Linked DNA regions of Kluyveromyces lactis. The protein of the gene in region 1 interacts with the protein of each later gene in a pairwise test. Links are inferred from orthologs where the notes say so. Each region holds a gene or a part of one and is shown in the gene's direction. Other genes may lie near its edges.

Region 1 (2,864 bases):
TTCCTGGTTCAATATCCTAAAACGACAACCTTGGGAGACGTGGTCATCGCTCATTGTTACCCTGGTTTCGTTCATAACGATTTCCCTCTTTCCCTCATTTTGGTCTCCCCTATATCATCACTATACATCATTTCTCTAACTTATCGGGTAGGGCAGAACCAACGAAGTGAGAACACATCCAAACCAACGGATTCTATGCCTTGGTGTTGCCCGAAATAGCAAGGTGCGGTAGCTTATTGTACGCCCTTGTTTTATTTACTATATGTATTTTTTCATGTATCCCTAATGGAGAATGTAACGAACTGCAGCCTGCCAGCTCTTTACATCTTGATTCTAATAATAAATATGGTAAACGAGTGGAAAGAGAAGAAGAGAAGAGAAGAGAAGAGAAGAAGAGAAGTAGGCAAAGAAGGCAAGGGACGTAAATGTCAGAGGCTGCGTGCGCGAGCTGCGGTGCGAAATGCTAGGCAGAATATAGACACTGCTACTGCTGCTGCGCAGCAGCAGTAGCAGTAGTAGTAGCATCTTTGCCATCGAAACCCGACATCTCTGAAATACCTAGCACCCTCCCGCTCACAAACAAAAACAGAACACAACCCATTCCATAACTAAATAGTACATATACGACACTTGGCAAGGCAACACTGGGCACTAGCCCCATCCCTAGCCCCAGTTGGTTTTCCAGTCCAATGCGAAGCGATACCAAGCTGACACTGCGACTTCTTTTCTTTTTTTCCCATATGAAGGAGAACAAAAGTGAAAATTGAGAATTGAAAACTTTCGGTAACGCTTTTTGGCATTACTTACAACTTGTGTTTTATTCATTGGGAAAACACGGTATTTTCAGTGTTTTCCTTCCCATTTGTTTCCGGGAAGATCATCAGTATTGGCGCCAGCTCGAGTCAGGTCAGTGTGTGGTTATTGGCGACAGGTTTGAACACAATACGAAACGGTGTAGATCTCGTTTTTCGGGTTATTTTCTAATTCTATTTTTTTTCCTTTAAAACTCTGTGTGTGTTTTTCTATTATTTTTTCTTTCAATCAATTGATTAAAAAAAAAAATTAATATTATTAAAGAAAGATAATTATAAAACATAAGAGATTGAGAGACTTACGTTCATACGAAGGTTAGAAAGAATACAGCAGGGTCTGTTTGTTTGTAGAAATTGGAAGTGAGACAATATTGCATCTTCAAACCAGGGTAATTTCTACTAGTACCTTTTTTTATCTTTTAAAGTTGCGGGCTATATTCTATAATCTGTTTGCTTCGTTAGGAAAAAAAAATAAGGATTAATAAGAACCAATACTTTTGGATAATCCAAGACACGGAAGCATCACAGTTGCCATCGGTTACTTCAATTATTAAGAACGTTTGATATAGTACCGCGATAATTATAAAACAAAGGAACAAGGAATAAAATAAGAAAAATGGATCAACAATCAGTAGACGTTGACGATATCATTGATAGATTGTTGGAAGTGAGAGGGTTGAAACCTGGCCATCAGGTTGACTTGGAAGAACACGAGATTAGGTATTTATGTTCCAAGGCCAGATCTATTTTCATCAAGCAGCCAATCCTATTGGAATTGGAGGCACCAATTAAGATTTGTGGTGATATCCACGGTCAATATTATGATTTGTTACGTCTTTTCGAATACGGTGGGTTCCCACCAGAATCCAACTATCTGTTTTTAGGTGATTATGTGGATCGTGGTAAACAATCGCTAGAAACCATTTGTTTACTGTTGGCTTACAAGATCAAGTATCCGGAGAATTTCTTTATCTTGCGTGGTAATCACGAATGTGCATCGATCAATAGAATTTACGGGTTTTACGACGAATGTAAGAGACGTTATAACATTAAGCTTTGGAAAACTTTTACGGATTGTTTCAACTGTTTGCCTATCGCTGCGATTGTCGATGAAAAAATCTTTTGTATGCATGGTGGATTATCCCCAGATTTAAATACCATGGAACAAATCAGACGTGTGATGAGACCCACCGATATCCCAGACGTGGGGTTATTATGCGATTTGTTATGGTCCGATCCGGATAAAGATATCGTTGGATGGTCAGAAAACGATAGAGGTGTCTCGTTCACTTTTGGTCCTGACGTAGTGAGTAGGTTTTTACAAAAACAAGATATGGAATTGATCTGTAGAGCACATCAAGTCGTCGAAGACGGATACGAGTTTTTCAGTAAAAGACAATTGGTAACATTGTTCAGTGCTCCAAACTACTGTGGTGAGTTCGATAACGCTGGTGCTATGATGTCTGTTGATGAAAGTTTATTATGTTCGTTCCAAATCTTGAAACCAGCTTCTAAGTTATTGGAACGAAACGTAGTGAGAAGAAAGAAATGATGAATTTAAATTTAAACCTTCTTAATCATCATCATCATCATCATCATCATCATCATCCTCATCTCTCCCCCCCCTTTAAACAACGAATCCCATCTCAAAGAAAATCCCCAATGAAAAAACCAGAAAAAAATAAACTATTAAATTCAAACATAAAGTATAAGATATATTACTGGAAAAACTTGCTGAGCTAGAACGTTTTCCTTTATACCTTTCTAATATATTGTAACATAATTTCTTTGTCGAATGTCAAGCGGGCTGCTACAATTTCAATTTCAAACCTTTATCTCCACTTTACTCTCTTATCACCCTTTTACACATATCCCATCATTCATGTTATTAGTATATATATACGCAGTGATATATACATATATATATATATTCTACATATTGCAAAGGAAAATTCTGTAGATTAGCCGTTGAGCCTTTTTCCATACATCAATCGACTAAACCAATAACACGTACGTTAACATAGTGCTGTAGACACATCGTGTTTTTTAGCA
Region 2 (3,962 bases), on another chromosome or scaffold:
TTTACATTTTGTGTACAATTTTATAGCCAACTTCTCGATTCTGTCACATAAGTCTTGACCGACCAATCGAGCTGCCTGTTCCGGAGAAATATTTTCGTCGTGCTCACCTTGTTCTGCTTTAGTAGAAGGAGTGAAGATAGGAGATGGGAATTCCTGAGATTCCAGTAAACCTTCTGGCTGTGGTAAACCATGGACAGTACCGGTCTTCTTGTATTCTTTCCAGGCAGATCCTGTGATAAATCCACGAACGATGACTTCTAATGGGATTAATTTGTGTTTTTGAACCAACAAAGATCTTCCCTCCAATTGAACTTTGTACTTAGATTCTGAAAGCTTTGCAGGTAATTTGTCAAAGATGGTTTCACCTGGACCTAATGGTTTCAAATGGTTGCGGACATCTTCCTTCAAGAAATCAAACCAAAATTCGGACAACTTGGTCAACAAGATACCCTTTTCTGGAATTGCATTCTTCATGATGACATCGTACGCAGAAATACGGTCAGTAGCGACGAACAACAAAGTTTGATCATCGACTTGGTAAATGTCTCTAACTTTACCTCTAGCCACTAATGGTAGGATACCGTCCAAGTTGGTTTGAGTGATGCTTGTCGTGTTCATGATGATCCCTTTTTTTCTTTTCAATTTCAATCTCCGCAGTAGTAATAGTCGGAAGCGAGTGAGTAATAGTACGTGAATCAGCTAATGCTTAGATGTGATAGTTCTCTAACATCTATCAAATATTAAGTGAAAAAGTGATTATACCGCTTTGCAACCACCTAATTTGCACACGTACTTACAAAGCTGGCTCATCTCATTATATACATCGCATTTCAATTTTTTATTTCTCATGTCTCGAGGGAAAGTAATATCGAAATATATCGAGATATGTCAAGTCAAAAATCATCATTTAAACACGTGACTGATATATTCCACGTAATGCTAAAATAGTAATCCGGGTAATGAAATATATTTCGGTTTCTCTTTCGCATCAGTTCCTTTTTCGCATAGCGAAGTTTCTGACATTCACAGCCGTTAGTCTTTAGTGATATACATTTAGAGATACAGATATGGTGGAATTAGTGAGAATGAACATGAAACGAGACAGAGAGGGAAAGGTGTATAGCGTACAGTAAAGGTCGTTCGACTTATCGAAGCTAGCACCTATACAAAAGGCGCAACAAACCATTTTAGAAGGGTTTTCAGGGGGATTTTCCGCTCTGGATAAAGCACTAAGAGGCTTGAAACAGCTTTTAATTCTCTTGTTTTTGGTGCAACATTTTCCACTGAGGTTTCAGAGATATATTTATACACGCGTTACTTGGAGAAAAGTATTATCAGCTTCCATCTCTGAATCCTATCTGTGCATTAACTGCTATTATACCACTCGAGTTGTATCGTATGATGGATTTGGAGTATCCTAAGATGTCAGGACTCGCAGGTCTGGGCTCTGGCTTAAGATCACGGGAACGATCAAAACCTGATCTATCGATATTAACTGATCCTACACTGGTTGAGGATTTCGATGAAATCATGAAACAGATGCGAAGCCTCAAGAAGGACGAGGAATCCCTGAGTGTCAATGCTAGTGTTGTGATAACGCCGACTGAAGCACATGCTAATGACGTAAATCGTCAAAAAGTTGACTATGAAGGTGTCCCGGATCTCGGTGATTTACAGTTGGAAGATGAGGAGGAAGAAGAAGAAGGAGAAGAAGAGTTAGCACAGGATATCGATAATGAGCATGATACCAGTTTCAGTTCGCGACATGGGAACGAGCTGCAGGATTCAGATTATGCATATTCAGATTCGGATTTTGAAGATAATTTGGAGGAGCGGTTAAGAAGTTTAGAGACTTCTTCTCAAAGAAACAGCGGAGAACATGTTTCTTCTGTGAAAGGGATAGTTGCAAACGATACATCGAGTGCTATTGATAATAACATGGTGGCAGATCGTGCGAAAGAAGCAAGAAACGGATTGGAGCAGAGATCATATGACGATATTGATGATGACGATGATGAGGCAGAAGAACAAGATGACAACGACGAAGAGGACTTGAATATAGGTTGGAACACTAATGAATCTGATGATTCTGATGAGCTGCAGCCGTTAAATCCGCCGCAAGAATTAGACCCCAGCAAATTATATGCATTATACCCGTTCCAGGGACCTGATCCATCACATTGCCAGTTGGAACAGGACGAAGGTTGTACTCTTTTGAATGACCAGGACTCTTATTGGTGGTTAGTTAAACGTTGCAGTGATGGGAAAATAGGATTCGCGCCTGCAGAACTTCTTGAAACGTTTCCTGAAAGGTTAGCTAGACTGAACTGTTGGAAAAACGAAAATATATCATCACATTCAATTTCTCATAAAGAGGATTCAAATTCAAGCAAAGAATCGAATATTTTGAACAAAGAAGATAGTATTGAGGCAGTTGAGTCCCCGTTGAACGCATACTCAAAAACTAATAAATCGGTTAGCTTCAATAATGTTGTCAGTTATGCTGAAAGATATATTGATGAAATAGAGCAAGAACCATTGGAGGACGACAGCGGAGAACTGAATGGTGCAGGAGAATACGTTCATGATGTGGAATCAAGAGACGGGCAAGACGGGCATCTACACCTGGGAACAGATCTTGGAACTCACTTAACACATGTCGATGAAATACATGAAACCCTTCTGAATGATCATTTGTCAGATGATGTAAGCGAAGTTGTAAGTGATGCTGCCTTCAATGTCCATGAAATGGCACCATTAATGGTGCAAAAAAATAGACCTTCAAAACCTGCCTTGACGGATCTGTTGTCAGAGAAACAAAATGATCTAAAACAAGTCTTTCAAGCTCCCACTATGCCAGTAGCAGCACCAAGAGGTACTTCCCAAATGACAAATTCAAATTCAAATTGTTCCATATCTACAATCGGAGAATACTCGCCTTCCTCTTCAGACTGGACAAATGATTCACCTCAGTTGCTAAGTGAAAAGGAATTCGAGAAGTCTAATTTGAATGATCAAATCCCATCTTCCAGAGCTATTCAAGATATATCGAAAATTGTAAGCTCGCAAGATGCGCCTGATTTGAACTCTCTTCATGATGAAGATTCTCTGCAACATAGTGAATCATTGCCAAAAGTAACTCATAATCACCAGCATTCGATATCTACACTGAATGCTGTAGATATCAACAGTTCTGTCGGGACAGAAAAAACTATTGATATTGATGAAGAAAATAGTATCTTACCAGATGAAAATACAAACGCTTACAGCACCGTTCCATCCTCTATAGCCTCAAGTTGCATGGACCATGAACACAACTCTCCATTAATTTCTGAAGTAGCATTGCATACAAGCACTGGTGTAGTAGGGGATTATCATCCAGTGATTAACTCCTTGTACAACCCTATTTTCAGCAAAATAGATGTTATGATGGACAAGATAGAAAACGCCATCTCAAACTGATATTACCTCCATTCAACGCATTATGTAGCTAACTTTTATAGAGACATAACCCAACAACAGCAATCACTATTGCTTCAGTAATCTGTCTGTGCTCATCTCCTGTTTCAGTACCGAAAGAATAACACACGTGACCGCAGTACTGCATTAGACTTTAAAATTTTTTTTTGGTTTGTTAGCTCATCGCAGAGATATCAAATTCACTAAAAACATTTGAGCAGGAGGAAGCACGGATATTGCTGATAAGGAAGTGGTCAGTACCGTGGAGACTCCATAAACAACCTTGAATCCCAGTATGCCATGGTCACCAGATAACGAAGGACTAACTCAACTTTGTTTGACATTACAACATGCTGTTTCAACTAATTCTGATGAGAGACAGCAAGCACTCGATGCATTGGAAACATTCAAATTAGAACCACAGTTTGCCAATTATTTATGTTACATTTTACTTCATCTTGAGGAAATGGATCAGTTAAGAGGTACTGCAGGTATTCTTTTGA
Region 3 (3,694 bases), on another chromosome or scaffold:
CTGGATCCTTACAGGAATCAAAAGCTACCATCTCTACTGTTCAGCAGCAACCGAATAAACCATCCATGACTTCTGGCCAGCGTGCTGATTCAATGTTGAAAAAGGCAAATATAGGTTCATCGCTTCTTTCTCGTCCTAAGGGTCAGTCAACCCTTTCATCATATGGTTTCTTCAAACCAGGTGGTACGCCAACTGTTAGTGCGCCTGCTCCCAAGCCCTTATCTAGATTTGAACTGGAAAGGAAAAAGCTTATTGAAAAGCGTGTAATTCATCCTGCTCAAAGTCAAGTTTTCAATACAAGACCAACATTGCAACCGAAGAAAGAGGATAGCAGTAGCGAGGATGAAAGTGACTTCGAAAATGCTGCCGAGCTCTTCGCTGTTGCGAAATCTAAAGCTAAAGCTTTTTCACCAGGTCTGCTTGACATCAACGGTAAAGAAATCAAAAAGTCAATGACCCCAACTGATTTACGTCGCTTAGAAGAAGAGAATATGAGGCAAAGATTAAATGTTGATTTGGCCCCATTCTACGAGAAAGTTTTGAAATGGGACTACAAAAGAACCAGTGAGTACCCAACCGATACAGAAACATCCTACTCTGACGTGAAGGACTCATTTTCATCGGTCTCTGATTATCAAAAAGTCATGGAACCGCTTTTGCTGCTAGAATGTTGGCAGGGATTGTGCTCAGCTCGAGACAGGGAAGAACAGAAAAGCTTTAGTTTCATTGTAGGAAATAGGACGGTTGTTTCTGACTTTTACGAGGTATATGCATCAATCAACAAAAATGTTGTTCGTGACACAGGTATCAATGACTCGGATTTAATTGTTCTTGGCTATTTCCCCGACTCTTCTTCTTCAAAGCCATTGACAGATAAAGAATTCAAACGATCAAATCACACTTGTTTAGCCAAAATTAAAGAGATAAAGAACTCGAAAGGTGAAAATATGGACCTTACATTCAGGATTCATCGCAGTCATAAATTCTCAAATCTTTTAACTTTACGTTCTGAAATTCATGCTTTGAAAGTCATGCAAATGACCACAGTCGAAAGAGAATACACATCTTTAAAAGGTTTGCCCTATTATGATCTCTTAAAACAAATACTCAAAGCTCAACCATCCGTTCCAGAGAATATTAGTAGCACTGAAGTTAATAGAATCAAAGCAAACTTCCACCTAAATACATCCCAGGCAACAGCAATTTTGAGTACGGTAACTACCCAAGGTTTTTCACTAATTCAAGGCCCTCCCGGTACTGGTAAAACCAAAACTATCTTGAGTATTGTCGGATACTTCATTTCAAAAGCGAATACAAACTCTAAAAATACCGTAACACATACCATTATCACGCCAACTAATACAACATCAACAGAACAATTGTTGGAAAGGCAGAAAGTATTAATCTGTGCACCTAGTAACGCTGCTGTTGATGAGTTGGTCTTGAGATTACGAGAGGGTGTTTTGGATTATTCTGGAAACACTTTCCGACCGGAGATTGTTCGTATCGGTAGGAGCGATGCTGTAAATGAATCCGTCAAGGACTTAACCCTTGAAGAAAAAGTTGACAAAAAGCTAGGCGGTAGTGATTATGAGATGGTCCAAGATTCTGCATTAAATCAGAAATTTCAAGACGCTCTACAGAAGCGTAAAATGCTGCAAGCTAAGTTAAATAAAGAAGACGGTAACCCAAATAGTTCTTTGTCATCTAATGAAATTGCAGACATTCAAATGGAAATTAGAGATCTGAGAAGGCTCATCAGCGAAATGGGTAAACAGAAAGATGAAATTAGAGAGTCCAATTCTCTAAAGTACAGAAACAGGGAGCAAAATAGAAGAAAGGCTCAGGCACGTATCTTGGCTGAATCAGATATTATATGCTCTACATTATCTGGGTCTGCTCATGATGTCTTAGCATCCCTAGGTGTCAAGTTTGATACTATCATTATCGATGAAGCCTGTCAATGTACGGAGCTTTCTAGTATCATTCCATTGAGATACGGTGGTAAACGCTGTATCATGGTTGGTGATCCTAATCAATTACCTCCGACAGTCCTATCTGGTGCTGCTAGTGACATGAAATACAATCAATCCTTGTTTGTAAGGATGCAGAAAAACTGCAGTCCTTATTTGTTAGATGTTCAGTATCGTATGCACCCTGCTATCAGTAAATTCCCCTCATTAGAGTTCTACAAAGGTAAGTTACAGGACGGAAGTAGTGTTCAAGAAGTTAATACAAGAGATTGGCATAAGAAATATCCGTTTGGTCCGTACAAATTTTTTGACATCGTTACTGGTAAACAAAAGCAAAATACTAAAACAATGTCCTATACCAATCCTGAAGAAACAAAGGTAGCCATTGAGCTTGTTGAAAACCTTTTAGCTACTTATGAATCAAAATATGATTTTACAAATAGAATTGGTATCATATCTCCTTATCGTGAGCAGATGCAAAACATGAGGAATCAATTTAGGCGCTACTTCGGAGATCAAATCCGTTCGTACATCGATTTTAACACCATCGATGGTTTCCAAGGGCAAGAAAAAGATATCATCATTATTTCATGTGTTCGTGCTGATGACAATAGTACAAGTGTTGGTTTCTTGAAAGATTTTAGACGTATGAATGTTGCATTAACCAGAGCCAAATGTAGTCTATGGATTCTAGGGCATCATAAATCGCTAGTCAATAACAAATTGTGGAAGCATCTAATTTCGGATGCCAAAGAAAGAAACTGTCTCGAATTGGCGTGTCCCGGTTTTTTGAATCCAAGCGATAGATACGCTCAAGATACAATTGAGCGTTTCAAAGGATCCCACGATTATATTGCCAATTTGGATACTTATAACCCATATGATAGCTTTAACTCATCTAGAGGCCATAAAAATGTGAACAAACGAGATGGAGACTCTTCTTCCGCACATCATTCAAAAAAGAAGTTTAAACCAGATAATTTAAAGGAACAAAACATAGTTTCCAACGATTCTGGTGCAAATCGTCCTGAAGGAGAAAAAGGTTCTACTATAAAATCGTCTCGGACAGGTACAAAAAAGAAATCATCTATTTTTGGCACATCCTCATCCACTCTAGGCATTGCAACTGGAGGCAAAGTGCACATTCCAGTAATTGCTGGTGATAATTCAAAGAATATTAGCAGGGATGATGCAAAAAATTCGACCGGCAAAAGATCTTGAAATTTTAGTAATCAAGTGCAGGATTCTTACTGCACATAGTGGATGTGACTTTATCATGCAGTACTCTATAGCCGATCACTATTGCATAGTTTAAATAATTGACGATGCGAGTATTATTTAAACAAACAATTATATTGTAAACCTTGTTCTGTAAAGGCAAAACACTAAAAATAATATGAGACGAATCAATAATAGGTCTCTAGTCAGTCTTGTTTATCTTTAGAGGGAAGTCCTCTGTTGATTCGTGTAAATTTGAAGCATATTCCTTCGATAATGCGACTTTTGGAGGGGATTTTCCCATTTGTAGAAGTTCAGGAGTCTTTGCAGAGCTCTTGATTGGAATAGGTTGCATTTTACCATTGAGCTCATCTAGTGCTTTCTGTAAAGCTTTCAATTCGCAGAGAATGGAAGTGAATATAGAGTCTTTCGAATATGTTCCTACAATCGAATTAACGCGGGATAATGTTCTGCTGATCATTGAAGTTATATCTGTTTTCGGT
Region 4 (3,769 bases), about 920 kb from region 1:
ATTAGATACATAGTATCTGAAAAGGACAAGTACAGAATAACTTTAGCTTTACAAATATCGAATTTGTGGACACGTTCATATTTCAGTGAGCAAATGTGTATCAACGATTTGCCCCAGAATTGTGCATTCTTTTCTGCTGTTGATGTTGATAGAGTTATGAGAAAAGAGGTTGACATGGACTGTATCACACCATCGAACCCAAATGCTATACCACACGGTGAATCACTTGGAATTCTTGATATCCTTAAAATCACCAATGGATACTTAGGCGAACCGACGGATGCTGTGGATGTTTCTCAATTTCCGTATAGGCATCGTGAGTCCGTTTTCAGACAATATAACAAAAGGTACTCGAAAGATTTCTTAAGGTACTCTCTAGCTATGCAAATTCAAGATACGAAGTGGAAGATTGACGAAATTGAAAAATCTTATTTAAGAGCTATGGAGGAAGCTAAGTTCAGATTGGTTGATAATGAAGTCATGACAATGGCGGACTATATCAGAGGTAATACACCTGATGGAAAACCAAAGAAACAATCAATCATGAGCGATGAAGTAATGTATCTGAAGGAAAATGACATCTTTGATATTGACGCAGAACTCGGCAAGAAGTCGAAAGAAAAGAAGAATAGAAGTTTCAAGAAACTTGCTGCTAAGCACAAATTGCCTTCCATTGATAATGTAAGCAATGATATAATTGCTGACATAGTAACAAAAGCAGTGAACGATACTGGCAACGGAAAAGAAAAACTTTCGTCTTCTAATTCTAAGATCAAAACACGTAAACTTAAACAAAAAAGACTGGACTCTAACAAGAGTATCAAATCTAATGGCAAATCTCTTAAAGTCAACACTACAATTGGGTCAGACTGTCGTGATAACTATGCGCAGCGCAAGAGAGCATTCAATGTAGCAATTTGATGACTTTAAATTAATTTAGATAGTTAATAACCGTGTATAGCCTATCCGATGTAATATTATTAACTTTTCTAACATATCCTTGAATATATTAGAACCTACTCGTAAAGCATTCCTATTAACATAAATAAACGTCTACAAACTATCAATACGCACTTAATCAGCCAGAATCCACAGCTTTTCATGACTATGAGGCCCCCGCTTCTGCGGTACCTTGAAACAATTATTTGCAGGACTAAGCTGAAAAATTGTTCTTTTGATATGAATCAAAACAAAAAAGGTCTCATCAAAATGATAAATAGATGGATGGCTTGAAGAAAGAAGTCAAACAACCGAAACTCCACCTATTCTATCTGAGTGTGTGACTGTGCAAAATGTCATTTGATTGGTTGAATGTACCAGGGTTAGATATTTCCAATGATTCACAGGCCTCTGTATCAAGTTCATCACCGCCTCCAGCGGTGTCATTCAGTTTCACTACAGCAGACAGACCTCAGGAACCCAGTAATCTGCAACAACCGCAAAGTCAACAATCACTGAGGGGACGTGAGGGCAATAAACTTACTGTTTCAGGATCTACAAGTAATTTTCAGGATTCGCAATCGAAGTCGCACACAATAGACGGAGCTCTTCACTCCCATTCAGAATCGGATATTGCCTCGTCGTATGTCGAAACTGCTCAGGAGTTACAGGTACCGCTAGCAGTTCCAGAATTCCAACTCACTCCTGATGAACGAAAAGCTTACTTGCGATGGTTTAGAGACCTAAGTTCCAGGATTCATTCGCGACCAATAACGTTGGACGATGTGTTTAACTTTCTAGCCAACTTCAGGATTGACGACACGATTAAAGAAAGGATTACACACATATTCAGAACATGTAGATACGCTGTAAATGAAGAGCAGTTTTATGCCATCATTAGACTAGTTGCTCATGGATTACAGCAGCATTTCCTACCTACCCGAAGCATGATTCCCGAAAAGGCACCTGTGTTAAGACCAAAATCCATCTTATCTGCTAATGCTGGTCAAGAAGTATATGAGGAGGTGGAAGAAGACCCAAACAACGCTACTGATAAAAAGGTAGACTTTGATGGATTTGCATCTTTGCTCTTAACAGGGAAAGCAATACAAAAGAATATCAGAAGGAGAATCATGAAACGTAGAGATCAGATTAAGAAGGTCCGATTCTCCAAGAATCTGGTTACATTCGCAAACGATTTATCTACCAAGGCAATGAGCAGCATCTCGAGGTCTGGCAAACCTGCTGTCACTGCACCTGATAACGCAGCGTCTACTGAGTCTAGCCCTAGTGATGATTCAACTTTGGACCTATCACTACCGATGGAACAATTGCTAGCAAAATTATCTTCAAGAAATCGAAATAACAGTGCTTTAGTGAAGGAATTACCCTCGGATACTCAGCCTGAGACACAAGAAGAAAGAGAAGTATTAGAAGATATGAAGGACTCATTGAGCCATTTCAGACAGATCCAAAAAGTTGATAGTGTCACACAGCTCCCTAACAACATGTCTTCATATGAATCTTCTAATTCTTCAGGGAGAGAGCAGGCTCTTGAACCACTAAAACCAACAGCAACTGGATCTGCAAACTACTTGTTCAGACAGACTGTCCCTCCCTCTCACAATATAGATGCTAACAAAAACGACAACCATATCCTGGAACCACTAAAACCTACTGCGACTGGATCAGCAAACGAGATTTTCAAGAATATATTCAGAAGGAGCAAACCTGCGGAGCATTTGCCACAGCAGGGGCGTACTGCACCATTCGTGCCTCCACAAAGAAAGGTACAGTTCACCGAGGCGATGAAACCAACATCCACAGGCTCAGCAAACTATTTAATGAAGCAGCAATTTCAAGATCTTCAAGAATTTCAGCCGTTCCAATCGGCTCTACCATCTCAGCAACAACAGCAACAGCAGTATCTCAGTCCACGACCATCGATTAATGCTTTTCAGCCTCCAAATCAAGGCCAGTTTTTGCAGCCCAATGCAGGTGGATTGGTTACATCACCTCAACCTCAACTCTCATCCCATTCCAATCTATCATCTGACGGATATTTCAGCTCACTCATAACCCCTTCACCACCAATGATGCCCACATCGTCTCCTCAACCTCAGAACATATCGAACGGCGTGAATTTATCCGCAGCATACCAGCAGCATATTCCAGAGTGTGGCTCTAACCTCAATTATCAAGTGCGACCAAATGCTGTCAGTCCACGACCAGCACGTTCCCAGTCAGACAACATTTTAGATGATTTAAAGGCATTGCAGCAGCAAGTGGATCAATTGAATCAAACATACTCATACGATGGGAGACGTTAAAATGTAACCAAACTTCCACATAGCGCAAGAGTCGAAAATATATACAAAACGATATAGAAATACTCGCAACACATACTTAAAGACAACCCTAGTCTTCATATTCACCTGTTCCAGATGGCAAGTGGGGAAGAAATAGAGGTAACGCTGCATATAAGTATTGTAGATCAATAATGCATGGTAAGTCCCAACGTACATCTTAATCACGTGACCAATTGAAAGATCACTGCTGCGAAAGGAATCCCAGGGCTCTTTTTGACCAGTACTGGGGACGAATCACCTCAATTCACATTTCACTACGTTAATAAGATAGGACACTGCATTAAATTACATTAACATTCAAAAGTGGCTATTATATACAAACCAAAGTGTCTATTTCATCGCTAAACTTCCCAAATTACTCTTTTGTAATAAGGAATCTTAGGCGCATAATGGGATTCCGCAATGTTCCGGTCCAGGTATCCAGATAGCTTTTAAAAACTTTGATTTCTTGACGTGGTTGA
Region 5 (3,350 bases), about 1.4 Mb from region 1:
ACATTTGCTTTCATGTTCATTGGATAACACCATCAAACTCTGGGAAGTCAGTTCAGGTAGATGCATTAGAACTCAATTTGGACATGTTGAAGGTGTTTGGGATATCGCTGCTGATAACTTCAGAATTGTCAGTGGCTCTCACGATAAGAGCATCAAAGTTTGGGATCTTCAAAATGGTAAATGCATACAAACTTTTACAGGACACAAGGCTCCTATTGTATGTGTAGGAATTGGTGACAGTTCATTTGTTAGCGGAGACGAGCTGGGCGAAGTGAAAATGTGGCATTTTGATGATATTTGAGAGCCCTGTCGTAGAACCATTGGCATTGTTGCACCGATTACACTATAGCTAATGGTACAGAAGTGAAGGAACAATTGTGTTCAACATCTTCAAAACTAGCATAACTAAATACAAAAGTTTATATTGTAACTTATTTCTAGTCTCAACTGCTGCCTAAATACAGAGGCCACATAATGCCATTCTTTTTCGAACGAATACATTACTCAACGATCAGTTTCTGAAAGTTTTATCGTGCTCGGAACAATGTTTAAAATCAATGTACCTACCTGGCTTCATTAACCCCGAAACCATCAACGTTAAAAAGTCAAATGTCGAGCATGCGAAGTTGTGGAATTCGTCATTTAATTCGACCGTCGTATATGCGCGGAATCTAATTATAAGATCGCACCATAATGATTAAGATGATGAGCCTCGTTGAAACGTAACAGCGCACCGTTTTCTTCTTCGAAAGCCAAACTAACACATCTTCCATTTTTCATTGTCAACATGACCGTCTTTTGGTTTCCAGATTCTCACCAAACAGCTTAGAAAATATCGTAGTAGAGAAATGTGACTGGGAATCCTTGAAAAGAAAAGGAAAGGAAATAATAAGAAAAAAAGGGTTGTCACCATGAGCAGACGTTTTCATGCAAGGTATTAATGTTCCTCTGTTTTTAAGACTTCAATCATACATAAGTCGGGTGAGCCAGTGGTCGAACAGGTTTGTATTGGGTACTTGGTGTTTTATGACCTTCGAGTTAAGAATAAAAATAGTCTTGGTGTTTTCTACTCTGTGAGGTTTTGTTTTAAATTTTGTTGTTTTAACTTTTGATCGAAGATAAACCAGATATATAACGAGCTACCCCAGTTTGCTCGCATTTTCATTGCTTTATCATCCTTAAAGCATTTAGCATTTCATATTGGGCAATAAGCGCTAGTGTAAACAATCACTTTTCGATTACTAGCGTATCTTCCTGATAAACGTATCAAGACACTAGTTAAATAATTGGAGATAAGTCAGAATAGATTGAGGCTATCTAAATAGAAGAAGAAATCTACTATGGTCTAGCGAGATGTACCAACGAGATGCTGTACAGAATTTACAAAGCGGCAAGTTTAGCTCTTTGAATTTTTTGAGGAAACCACAAAGAATTTCCTGCCAGGTCGAAACAACAGCCATGAACGACGCTTTGAAACGGAACACAGATCTGAATAAAAGTAAAATTATTGTAGATAAAAGTTTACAGGATTCTCAACATGATGAACACGATCCTGTGGGCAATGAATTGGCAGGGCGGCTCAACGAGAAATTAAATTTCAATAAAGATGCGGACCCATCAAAGAAGGAAGATTGGGATGTTGAAACAGACCCATTGAAGAAAGAAGCATGGGAAAGCGAAACAGACCCAAGCTTAAGCATGCAAGACTACTTCCCTGTATCGAAACCAGATGTGCCTGAAGTTGAAATCAATAACAATTCCAACGATGACAACGATGACGATGATGATGAACCAGAAGACAGGTATTTGGATAGTAGAAAACTTAGCGCTATATTCAATCCACCCTCAATATTACTTACACGAAGCAAATCCCTACCAACTTCTCCACTAGAAGGTAGGGTAAGCCAGGAACAAAGACCTCCTGTTTTCAAGAGGTCTAAATCGGTTCATTTTGCTCAAAGTGAGAAGTTTGAAGTTAAATACTTTAGGGAGGACGAAAGTCCGTTATTCTTAAGAAACGAATCAGGAGAGTACGGTACGAAATCTGGAAAGTTAAGGAAAAGCAGACGCCATAGAAGCCGAGAGGCTGTTGCCAAAGTTAATGGTGATGATGACGACGATGATATGTTGAATATGAAGGGATCAAAGAGGTCCTTGGAATTGGTAAATGGAAACTTGATCCTTCAAGCACAAACTCCAAAGTTATTACGATTAGATGTATTTGGTGTAAGAAAAAATCAGTTCCAAACGTTTGCCAATGGTATATATAATTCGATGAACACTCCAAATTCTGGATGGTCAAATTCTCTTCACTCTAATAATGCACCTTTTTGGAAGTATAGTCATGGTATTAATGATAATGATGATAATGATAATAACAACAACAACAATAAAAATGAAGATGACGCTAATACTACTGGCATCCCAAACTTTGATTTCAGCTCTCCTTTTAATACAAATGATAGCTTTAAAAAAGAGGCAAATTTGGGAACCTTTATTTGTCATTTACAAGACCTTAGATTGGACACACAAGGGCACATGTTGATTGGTAATGTCATTGTACGAAACATATCCTACGAAAAGAGAGTTATTGTACGATACACCTTAGATTCCTGGAAATCTCAACAGGATGTTGAAAGTGTATGGATAACAAACCATTGTAACCTGAAAAGTGGTACAGGAGCTATCGATATCGATGTCTTCCAATTTGCCATTGATCTCGGTAAAATCAATACAATCGAGCACATCGAAATGTGCATACTATACCAAACACGAGAAGGGTCTTCATGGATCGATCATTGGGACAACAATTCGGGCCAGAATTACAAAGTCAGTGTCCGAGTAAAGTAACATATACCCACTCCGTGACACTCAAATATGCAATATATATGAAGACACATCAATTATCAGAATTATTATCAATATATATATAATTTTTCATACCACACAAATAATGTCCGAGCGATACATGTCATTAACAGTGACACTCTGTGATGATATATCTAATAGTGTTTTTAAAGGAAAACACTATGATTGGATTCATGCATTTTAAACAGTGGTCTATGGCGATCGCCGGCTTAGCGCTGCTAAACCCTTTTTGGTTCCCTAATAGAAACTAGTAAAAAAATAGAACGTTCGATGAGGGATCTGCACGTGATTATGTGTTCTAAAGGTATTCCAGTGAGAAAACGTTAACCAGATTTGTCGAGAATAGGTGTGCCTGGATCGGCATTTCCCATTTTGCCCGTTCTCATCTAATCCTAGCAACCCAGGAAACGATTGCTTTTTTTCGATTGAAAGAACAGCTCGGAATCGAAAGGAACTTGCAAGAATGAAGGAAAGAAAAAACA
Region 6 (3,887 bases), on another chromosome or scaffold:
CTATGAATTCTATCAAGAGAATGAAACTGGATGGGAAGGATATGTCGAACTTTGATAGCTCTTCAAGAAGATTATCTCAACCACAACCCCAATCCCCATTACAAATCGGTTCTCCATTGGAAGCATTGCTCTCGAAGCCAATCCCGTCTCCAAAAATCACTGTTTCTATGTTGAACAACTCAGTTGCATCCCCTCCTCCGAACCCGATGGCAATGTCACCTTTGCCATATATTTCAGAACCTATTGAATTGAATAACAATGGCAACAGTATATCTGATGGTGGTCAACGTAACGTAAACGTTGAACCTTCAAGCTCATTGAACCATGTGGAAAATGCGTCAAATGTTAGGTCAAATGCTCAGACTACATCGAAGATTAATTCATTGGGTAGCAATGAAAAGGATGAGCTCCGTAACGGAAACGATTCAGAAAATGAACCTAAGGTAATGACAAGGAATAATAGCAAAGGGAAAAGAACAGGAAATCCTAATATGGACATCAAATACAAGCTCTCTCGCGATAATAAAACAATCTGGGATTTATACAACGAATGGTATCATGGCCTAAACGGCAAACTGTCCATCAAGGAATTGATTGAGAAATACGGGTATAGAAGGTGGAAGGTAACAGAGGACTCTCATTTCTTTCCAACGAGACGTATCATCATCGACTATATCGAAACTGAAACTGACAGAAGTATTAATTTGAAGAGGTTTAATCTCAACAGTCCTCTACTAAAGGACAGAGACGCTGTTAGAAAACATATTGTGAAAGATTTAGAAACTTTCAGGGAAGAAAACGGCCTAACTTTGAATTCACTTTCTTTATATTTCAGAAACTACACTAGATGGGGCAAAGAAATATGTATATATGATAACTTCAAAGACTGGTCACTTGTTACCATGAATGAGGAAGAAAAGGTCAAATACTGCAAACGTAAGACATTGTCCTCAAAAGAAAATAGGGATGATAATTACTCGCAAGATGACAATGAGTGATTGATAAACATGAGATCTGAAAACAGACTCGGTTGTATTATAATATAGAGGTATATAATTCCAAATTTTTATTCTTACATGGGTTTAAGAAGGTCCTACCTCTGACAGGAATTCGTATCTGCATATGAGCTTTAGAGGTGTGAATTCTCGTAGTTTGGCGGGCTTCTAGTATATTATTATCCCTTTCCCGGTGTTGTTCTTATAAGTTTGGACTAATTCCCTTATTTTCCACCAAAATATCGCTTCAAAATTGAAACCTTCCAACATAGGAAAATAAGAGCAAATCGTCAACTTTGTCGTTGTTAAAGGGAACAACAGATAAAGAGGGTCTGGCGAAGTCAATTGTATAGAGAATCAGCACCATTAAAGACTAAATAAGGCTGACATACCGTGAGCGATGCCACACGACCACTTTATTGTCCCAAACAATGTTAGTCTAACCCAGGCGTTATCATTGTTGCACTCTATCGTCAGTATTCAATTAGATAACTGCAAAGAACAGAAAGCGAAGGGTAGCAAAGAGGAAACTGTTGATATATTATGTTCCATTCTATCATATCTTCGTGAGGGTTTGATATCGATAAAGAAGAAGTTCAATGTGGTGCATTATGGTGATTTGAAGGACCCTAATGTGGTTACAAAATATGCCGATGTTAGAATTTTAGGCCAAGAGATCAAAGACATGTGCGCAGAGTTAGAGAGCAAGTCACAAGATAAGCGAGATCCAGACTGGCGATCGAAATTGAAGATGAAATTCATCAAGAGTAACGTCAAACAGGATCAAGAAAGGGCGTTGAAAGAAAAGGAACAAGTTGAGAAATTGAAACAAGAAAGAGATAGAATTCAACGAGAAGAGAAGGACAAAGAAGCAAGACTGCTGAAGAAGAAGGAACAAGAGATAGAGAAGCAGGTAAGAAAAGACGTTCAGGAAGAGCTAAGGAAAACCAAACTGAAGTCCACCGATACCGCTGAAAGAAATGTGCATGAAACAATGATGCCGCCTACAAGAAGATCAATGGATCAATTGACTAGGAAGGCTGAGACGTTCGGTAGAAGAAGCCTGGATGGATTTGGAAGACGAAAGTCATATCAGAATGAGGTGAGAACTGTGAGTGCCTCCTCCCCAAATGTCAATCAGGCAGCCTTGTTGGCTTGGAGTGGACAATCCAGCCAAAAAGTAGCACAATCAAAACCAAAAGCTAAACAGACATTTGTGTATACGAAGCCTACTGTACGGAGACCTGTTATTAAGAGTCCTGTAAGAACATCTCCAAGAATTCCCGTTGAGGTTGCATTTGAGACACCGATCATTGATAGAGAAAGAATCAGGTCACCTGTCTCGAGGTCGGTCCCTCACAGTAGATCCACGTCTGTTGATAGAAAAGGTGGACAAGATTTATCACTGGAAAAGTCTGAAAAAGCCCTGACACCACTTGAAAAGAAATTGGCACATATCATGGATAATTTAGAAGGTGTTGACGAGAATTCATGCCTGCACATCATTAATGATATATTGATCGCTGATGAGAAAGTATATTGGGATGACATCTCAGGGCTTAACACAACGAAAAGCGCGTTGAAGGAAACTGTCGTGTATCCTTTCTTGAGACCTGATCTTTTCCAAGGTTTGAGGGAACCTGTATCAGGAATATTGCTCTTCGGACCACCTGGTACTGGTAAGACTATGATTGCCAAGGCTGTGGCAACGGAATCCAAATCAACGTTCTTTAGTATCAGTGCATCCTCAGTACTTTCAAAATTTTTGGGTGAATCCGAGAAACTTGTACGTGCACTTTTCTACCTATCCAAGAAACTAGCTCCTTCTATCATCTTCGTCGATGAGATAGACTCTTTGCTTACGACAAGAAGCGATAACGAGAACGAGTCCTCAAGAAGAATTAAAACAGAATTTTTGATTAGGTGGTCATCGTTAACCAGCGCTACCGCATCTGAAAAATCCGAAGAACAGATGGACAGCTCCAGAGTACTAGTCCTTGCAGCAACAAACACACCCTGGGACCTTGACGAAGCTGCCAGAAGAAGATTCTCAAAGAGAATATACATCCCATTACCCGACTACGAAACAAGGCATTACCATTTGAAAAGACTCATGGCAGTACAAAGAAACCAACTCACAGAATCAGACTTCAACGAAATCGCCAGACTTACAGAAGGGTATTCGGGCTCTGATCTAACGTCTTTGGCGAAGGATGCAGCAATGGAACCCATAAGAGACCTCGGGGAAACACTAATAAATGCAAACCTCGAGTTAGTTCGAGGCGTTACTTTACAGGATTTCGAAAGCGCAATGACAAGAGTGAAAAGAAGTGTCTCGACACAATCACTACTTAGGTTCGAGCAGTGGGCGCTCACATACGGAAGCACTTAATTGAAGATCTATCGCAGAGTTTTTGACATCGTCGTTTCCCCAGATTTAATTCTTCTTATTCCGGTGCCAATAGCGTCATTGAGCATTTTTATGTATTCTTCTATGCCCCAGGAACAATTTTTCATTTTTCATTTTTCATTTCTCTGGTAGTAGAAATCAATAACGAATTTTTATAGTTTAAGGAAAAGACATTACCTTTTCTAGTGAAAGAATGTTTGTAACCCCACTCAGGTTTTGTCATCAGAATACAAAGTGTGTTCAATAACAATTCAGAGTGGGAATTGCTGTTCGAGTACAAGAAGTTTATTTTAATTGCTATATCTATTAAGTGCTTCTGTTTCTCTTTCGGGGCTTTATTTGAATGCAAAGAGTTGTTTACTATACTGGCAACGGCTTAAATAACGGGAATAGTCAGTGGGTAAGTAATTGGTTGCATCGTAATAAGGGAACTTCTAAGTACGTTGGATTAGGATTAGCAGTAGCGATAACTGTTTATGTTT
Region 7 (4,122 bases), about 930 kb from region 1:
GTTACATATAAAAGCAATGATACAGAAAGATAAAGTTTTCGTGTTTGATACTACAAATCCTGACGCCGCCATAAAACTTGGTGTGTTAATGTATGACTTGGAATCAAAACTATCTCAAAGGAATATCAATTACCAAGGGAAATCTGTCTCATACCAGGAAAATTATGAACATAGAGCCCTCGAATCAATACTCATAAACGTGATGACCTGTTTGGAAACGGAATACAAGTATCATCATTCTGTTTGTGGGATGATATTGAACGATTTGGAGAATCAGATTGACCGAGACAAGCTTAGAGATCTTTTGATCAAATCCAAAACTTTGACTGCTTTTGCCCAGAAGAGTGTCTTACTACGTGACCTTTTAGACGAACTTCTAGAGTCAGATGAGGATTTGGCCGGAATGTACCTCAGCGAGAAGAAGCATCCAGATGCTGACGACCATTCGGACCTTGAAATGCTCTTAGAGACATATTACAAACAGTGTGACGAATATGTGCAACAATCCGAATCTCTCATTCAAGATATCAAATCTACCGAGGAAATTGTCAATATTATTCTAGATGCCAACCGGAACTCATTGTTGCTATTCGAATTGAAAGTTACTGTTTATACGTTAGGTTTTACGGTGGCCACACTTGTTCCGGCATTTTATGGGATGAATTTGAAAAACTTCATCGAAGATTCAAACTGGGGATTTGCCAGTGTAGTTGGACTGTCAGTAGCAGCTGCAGCAGTTGTAACTATCACAAATATGAGAGCTCTAAGGTCAGTCACAAAATTGACACTATTGAATAATCATACCGGTGCTAACAATAAAAAGCATTTGGCAAATGCTAAGTTAGCTCTAGACAAAGAAATACCTACATTCTGGGATAGGTGGTTAACGAGTGCAAGGGTGTTATGGTCTGGACGTGAAGTATTGTACAAAGATGGATCAAAGAGAGACATGATCTGGAAATGGTTAGTAGATGACGACAAGAAGTGAAAAATCCGTATAGCCACATCCTGTAAATAGATAATTTCCTGATCGCAAGCAAGTTATCTCTATTTTTTAAACATTTTTATAGATTAAAGCAATAACTTTACTTGTGATACAAATATCATGAGTTTTATGATTACCTATTTGCGAATTCTTGATACATCTCTGTCCATCTGGTTGGTATCTTCTGCAACGTCAAAAAAAAAAATAAAAAGGTTTCTTAAAATTCGCCCAACTGAAAAGAGACATCGTACTCGGCAAGACTTGGCTGCAATTGAAGCAAATATACACCATTCGCTGACTTATCAGAAGGTATATCTACTTTGGGACCATCGAGAACTGCAATAATTACGTTTTTTTCCAATTATGCTGGCGAAGGCGGCAGCTAGTGCTTCCTCATCTATGGAAAAGGGTAGTGTGTATTTGGATTTTACAGATATAAAATGCATACAATATACATCATCGATACGGAAACTCGAGCAACTGGTTCACGTCTGTAAAGTGTTGCTTAGGAATTTGTCAATGAAGAGTAATGAGAATCTTATCCCCTTGTCAAACATCGTGATAGCTCTTGGTTCAGGGTTTCAATTTAATGTATCTGCGGCCATAGAAAAAAGGATCGAACTACTCTCACAATTTAGATCATGTAAAGCCAATGCTACAAATCTGCCATTGAGCACCACTTCTCTCAAACTAGAGGTTGACCTTGTACCGGTGGAAGAAGACTCTGTCTTGTTCGTCAGTAAATTCTACAACAAAGAATTACAATCGCAATTACTTACCACGTTACAACGAGTAGCAGAAGATTCACTTCAGATATACCAAGCAAGAATTAGGCAACTGACCATGGAAAGGAACTCAAACAGACCTACAGACCTATCTGGAAGGACAACTATCTTCAACGAAGATGCGCTAAACGATCTTCTTTCACCAAACGAGTTAGCATTCGGACTTGACTTACTTGTTAATATTAGGAATAGATCAACCGATACAAGCAGCTCTGCCTTCTTTGCTTTGGCTTTACCAATCTTAGAGAAATTCAGGTCTAACCTCAATGATAAGTGCATACCCCCTATACGATCATATTACACTAGTATAATGAAATTCAGCCGAACAAAGGGCGTTTTCTCGAATAATGTTCTCATCCAATTGCCATACTGGCAGTTTACTTTGCATAGGATGTATGCTGCATCTCTTAGAGCAAAATGTCTCATCGATGTGATACGGGCTGTATTGAGACAAATTTACATTCCAAATAAACATCACTTCCATGATAACACTACCAAATTGCATTCAAAGAATCTACACGAATATTCTGAGCTATTGGAAGAGTTAGAAACGTTTTGCTTCACACAGGAACTTGAAAAAGATCTTATAGAGGCCTTTAAGTCATATGGAAACCAGAATACTGTTTATCAAGTTCAGTTTAACAACATCTCATCAGCATATCAAAGATTGTTGTTAAAATCTACGCAGATGTTACGGAAAGCTGCTAAACTCGTTGATTCGTTTAGCACCCAATGGAAAAGTATATCAGATAACATGAAAGCCAGCAAATATGACGATATGAACATCGATGAGATGGCAAAGATGGCGGAGGAAAAGTTAGCTGTAGATGAACTAGCATACAACGAAAAAATAAAGGAACAAGAAAGACAAAGGGAGGAAAAAAAGAATTCCAGTCTTTCACAAAAAAACACATCATCTTCATCTTCCATAACTTCAAATTCTTCCTCATTAAACGTTTCTCCAAATATTTTATCGCCTTTAAGACTGAGCCGGACATCTTCAGTTTCGCGGTCAGAAGAATCAAGGTCCCCATCATCACCAATACCTTTCACTGATGCGAAGTCTAATATATCGGCTAAAAAGACCAGATCAGTCAGAACAAGAAACAGATCGTCATCATTGCAATCAGTATCAAGTCTTGAAGATACTTCCACTGCTCGGAATGGTATGAGATCCAATTCTCTTCAATCAGGTTCTCTGAATACACAAAGAATTGTACAGAATGCATATTCAAAAGCATTACTCTCGTTAAATGAGAAAAGAGGCCCAAGACTAACACCAACAAAGCTGAATAATTCTATAAGATCAAAATCACCTTCTCCAACTGTGTCACGGCAGAATTCCGTAAAACAGAGGAACAAAGTGAACATATTGAAGCTAAATGAAGTAGACGAAGATGACATCAATGAGAAATTCCACGATCTGAAGCTGGACGATGATACTCTAATCGTCTCTCAGGAAGTGTTATCTCCAGAAGGTAGTGAAACTCCTAAGATCATAGTTTCTGTTGCCGATGACAATCAGTCGTCTTCAAACAACGACAGCGAAGTTGAAGGTATTGTGAAAAAGGTGAGATTTATAGGGGTTCCGCCTATGTCACAAGATGAAAACCCTGAGCCTAAAAGACGCGGATGGTACAAGAAGCCTGCCGTGTTGCATTATCCACCTCCACCTGCACAGCACTCACTTCAAAAATTCAGAACAACTCAAGAGGGTCTTGCATTTCGCACAAGTTTGATCTCCAGAGACCAAGGTTCTGATAAAAAGTTCGGTTTTGACAGCATGTACTCATCAGGTCAAGGGGCGGATACTAAAATAGTGGGTAAAATCAAGGATAAACTGTTTAAATAGAAAGAATCTTTTAATTTCTATTTGCAGTGAACTTATTTCCATTATAATATCAACTTTTAACAATGTATTTGAAATTTAGAGAAAATATTTAACTATTGAACATTCCCATAATTTATAAAGTAAAGTAGGTAAGGCTTGAAACATAGGAACAAACCTGTTATAACACCACTAGAACGGTCTGACATGTCATTCAGGACACTCAGCTCATTGCTACCGAGTCCGCAAAACTCAGAAGTCTCCGAGTCTTCAGCATTTTCTAGACAATCTAAGGAAAACATAAAGGATACAATAATATTAGACAAGCTACGACCGGAGAATCTACCAGTGGCCTCAATATCTGACTTTGTACCTCTTAGACAACGTGATATATCACTAGAGGCACCGTTCCCATCGACATCACAGATTAATCAAACATATGTAAAGACTAAGGCGTTTCTAGACTCGCTGCTAACGAAAAAGAGCTCTCTACAATTATCGTCTATTGCGAACAAGGACATCGT

The links.
Region 2: the proteins of GLC7 (region 1) and BUD14 interact in binary tests that used the Saccharomyces cerevisiae proteins (3 or more experiments, as listed by UniProt). The link is inferred for Kluyveromyces lactis from reciprocal best matches to the Saccharomyces cerevisiae genes GLC7 and BUD14.
Region 3: the proteins of GLC7 (region 1) and SEN1 interact in binary tests that used the Saccharomyces cerevisiae proteins (3 or more experiments, as listed by UniProt). The link is inferred for Kluyveromyces lactis from reciprocal best matches to the Saccharomyces cerevisiae genes GLC7 and SEN1.
Region 4: the proteins of GLC7 (region 1) and SCD5 interact in binary tests that used the Saccharomyces cerevisiae proteins (3 or more experiments, as listed by UniProt). The link is inferred for Kluyveromyces lactis from reciprocal best matches to the Saccharomyces cerevisiae genes GLC7 and SCD5.
Region 5: the proteins of GLC7 (region 1) and KLLA0_F27533g interact in a two-hybrid assay, tested with the Saccharomyces cerevisiae proteins (3 studies listed by BioGRID). The link is inferred for Kluyveromyces lactis from reciprocal best matches to the Saccharomyces cerevisiae genes GLC7 and GIP2.
Region 6: the proteins of GLC7 (region 1) and YTA6 interact in a two-hybrid assay, tested with the Saccharomyces cerevisiae proteins (2 studies listed by BioGRID). The link is inferred for Kluyveromyces lactis from reciprocal best matches to the Saccharomyces cerevisiae genes GLC7 and YTA6.
Region 7: the proteins of GLC7 (region 1) and GIP4 interact in binary tests that used the Saccharomyces cerevisiae proteins (3 or more experiments, as listed by UniProt). The link is inferred for Kluyveromyces lactis from reciprocal best matches to the Saccharomyces cerevisiae genes GLC7 and GIP4.

The regions. Positions count from the first base shown.
Region 1 is NC_006042.1:1,158,118-1,160,981, forward strand, and holds GLC7 (type 1 serine/threonine-protein phosphatase catalytic subunit GLC7), read left to right. Parts: upstream 1-1,428; coding exon 1,429-2,364; downstream 2,365-2,864.
Region 2 is NC_006039.1:388,414-392,375, forward strand, and holds BUD14 (protein phosphatase regulator BUD14), read left to right. Parts: upstream 1-1,398; coding exon 1,399-3,462; downstream 3,463-3,962. Other genes in the region: ADE1 (phosphoribosylaminoimidazolesuccinocarboxamide synthase), read right to left, coding at 1-618; KAP104 (Kap104p), read left to right, coding at 3,755-3,962. UniProt on the Saccharomyces cerevisiae protein: Important for bud site selection. Seems to be a regulatory subunit of the BUD14-GLC7 type-I phosphatase complex. The BUD14-GLC7 complex is necessary to regulate microtubule dynamics at the cortex and may function as a specific activator of the dynein complex.
Region 3 is NC_006038.1:494,497-498,190, reverse strand, and holds the end of SEN1 (DNA/RNA helicase SEN1), read left to right. Parts: coding exon 1-3,194; downstream 3,195-3,694. Other genes in the region: ATG23 (Atg23p), read right to left, coding at 3,394-3,694. UniProt on the Saccharomyces cerevisiae protein: ATP-dependent 5'->3' DNA/RNA helicase required for the expression and maturation of diverse classes of non-protein-coding RNAs like precursor tRNAs, rRNAs and small nuclear (snRNA) and nucleolar (snoRNA) RNAs.
Region 4 is NC_006042.1:234,572-238,340, forward strand, and holds SCD5 (Scd5p), read left to right. Parts: upstream 1-1,292; coding exon 1,293-3,269; downstream 3,270-3,769. Other genes in the region: KLLA0_F02610g (uncharacterized protein), read right to left, coding at 3,687-3,769. UniProt on the Saccharomyces cerevisiae protein: Regulates both fluid phase and receptor-mediated endocytosis. Involved in vesicular transport at a late stage of the secretory pathway. Regulates actin cytoskeleton organization.
Region 5 is NC_006042.1:2,548,104-2,551,453, forward strand, and holds KLLA0_F27533g (CBM21 domain-containing protein), read left to right. Parts: upstream 1-1,353; coding exon 1,354-2,850; downstream 2,851-3,350. Other genes in the region: ubiquitin-binding SDF ubiquitin ligase complex subunit MET30, read left to right, coding at 1-301.
Region 6 is NC_006041.1:2,081,615-2,085,501, reverse strand, and holds YTA6 (putative AAA family ATPase YTA6), read left to right. Parts: upstream 1-1,395; coding exon 1,396-3,387; downstream 3,388-3,887. Other genes in the region: transcription regulator GCR1, read left to right, coding at 1-998; putative ubiquitin-specific protease UBP16, read left to right, coding at 3,749-3,887.
Region 7 is NC_006042.1:225,725-229,846, reverse strand, and holds GIP4 (protein phosphatase regulator GIP4), read left to right. Parts: upstream 1-1,348; coding exon 1,349-3,622; downstream 3,623-4,122. Other genes in the region: MRS2 (Mrs2p), read left to right, coding at 1-988; mRNA splicing protein PRP45, read left to right, coding at 3,806-4,122. UniProt on the Saccharomyces cerevisiae protein: GLC7 phosphatase-regulatory protein involved in GLC7 subcellular redistribution and chromosome segregation.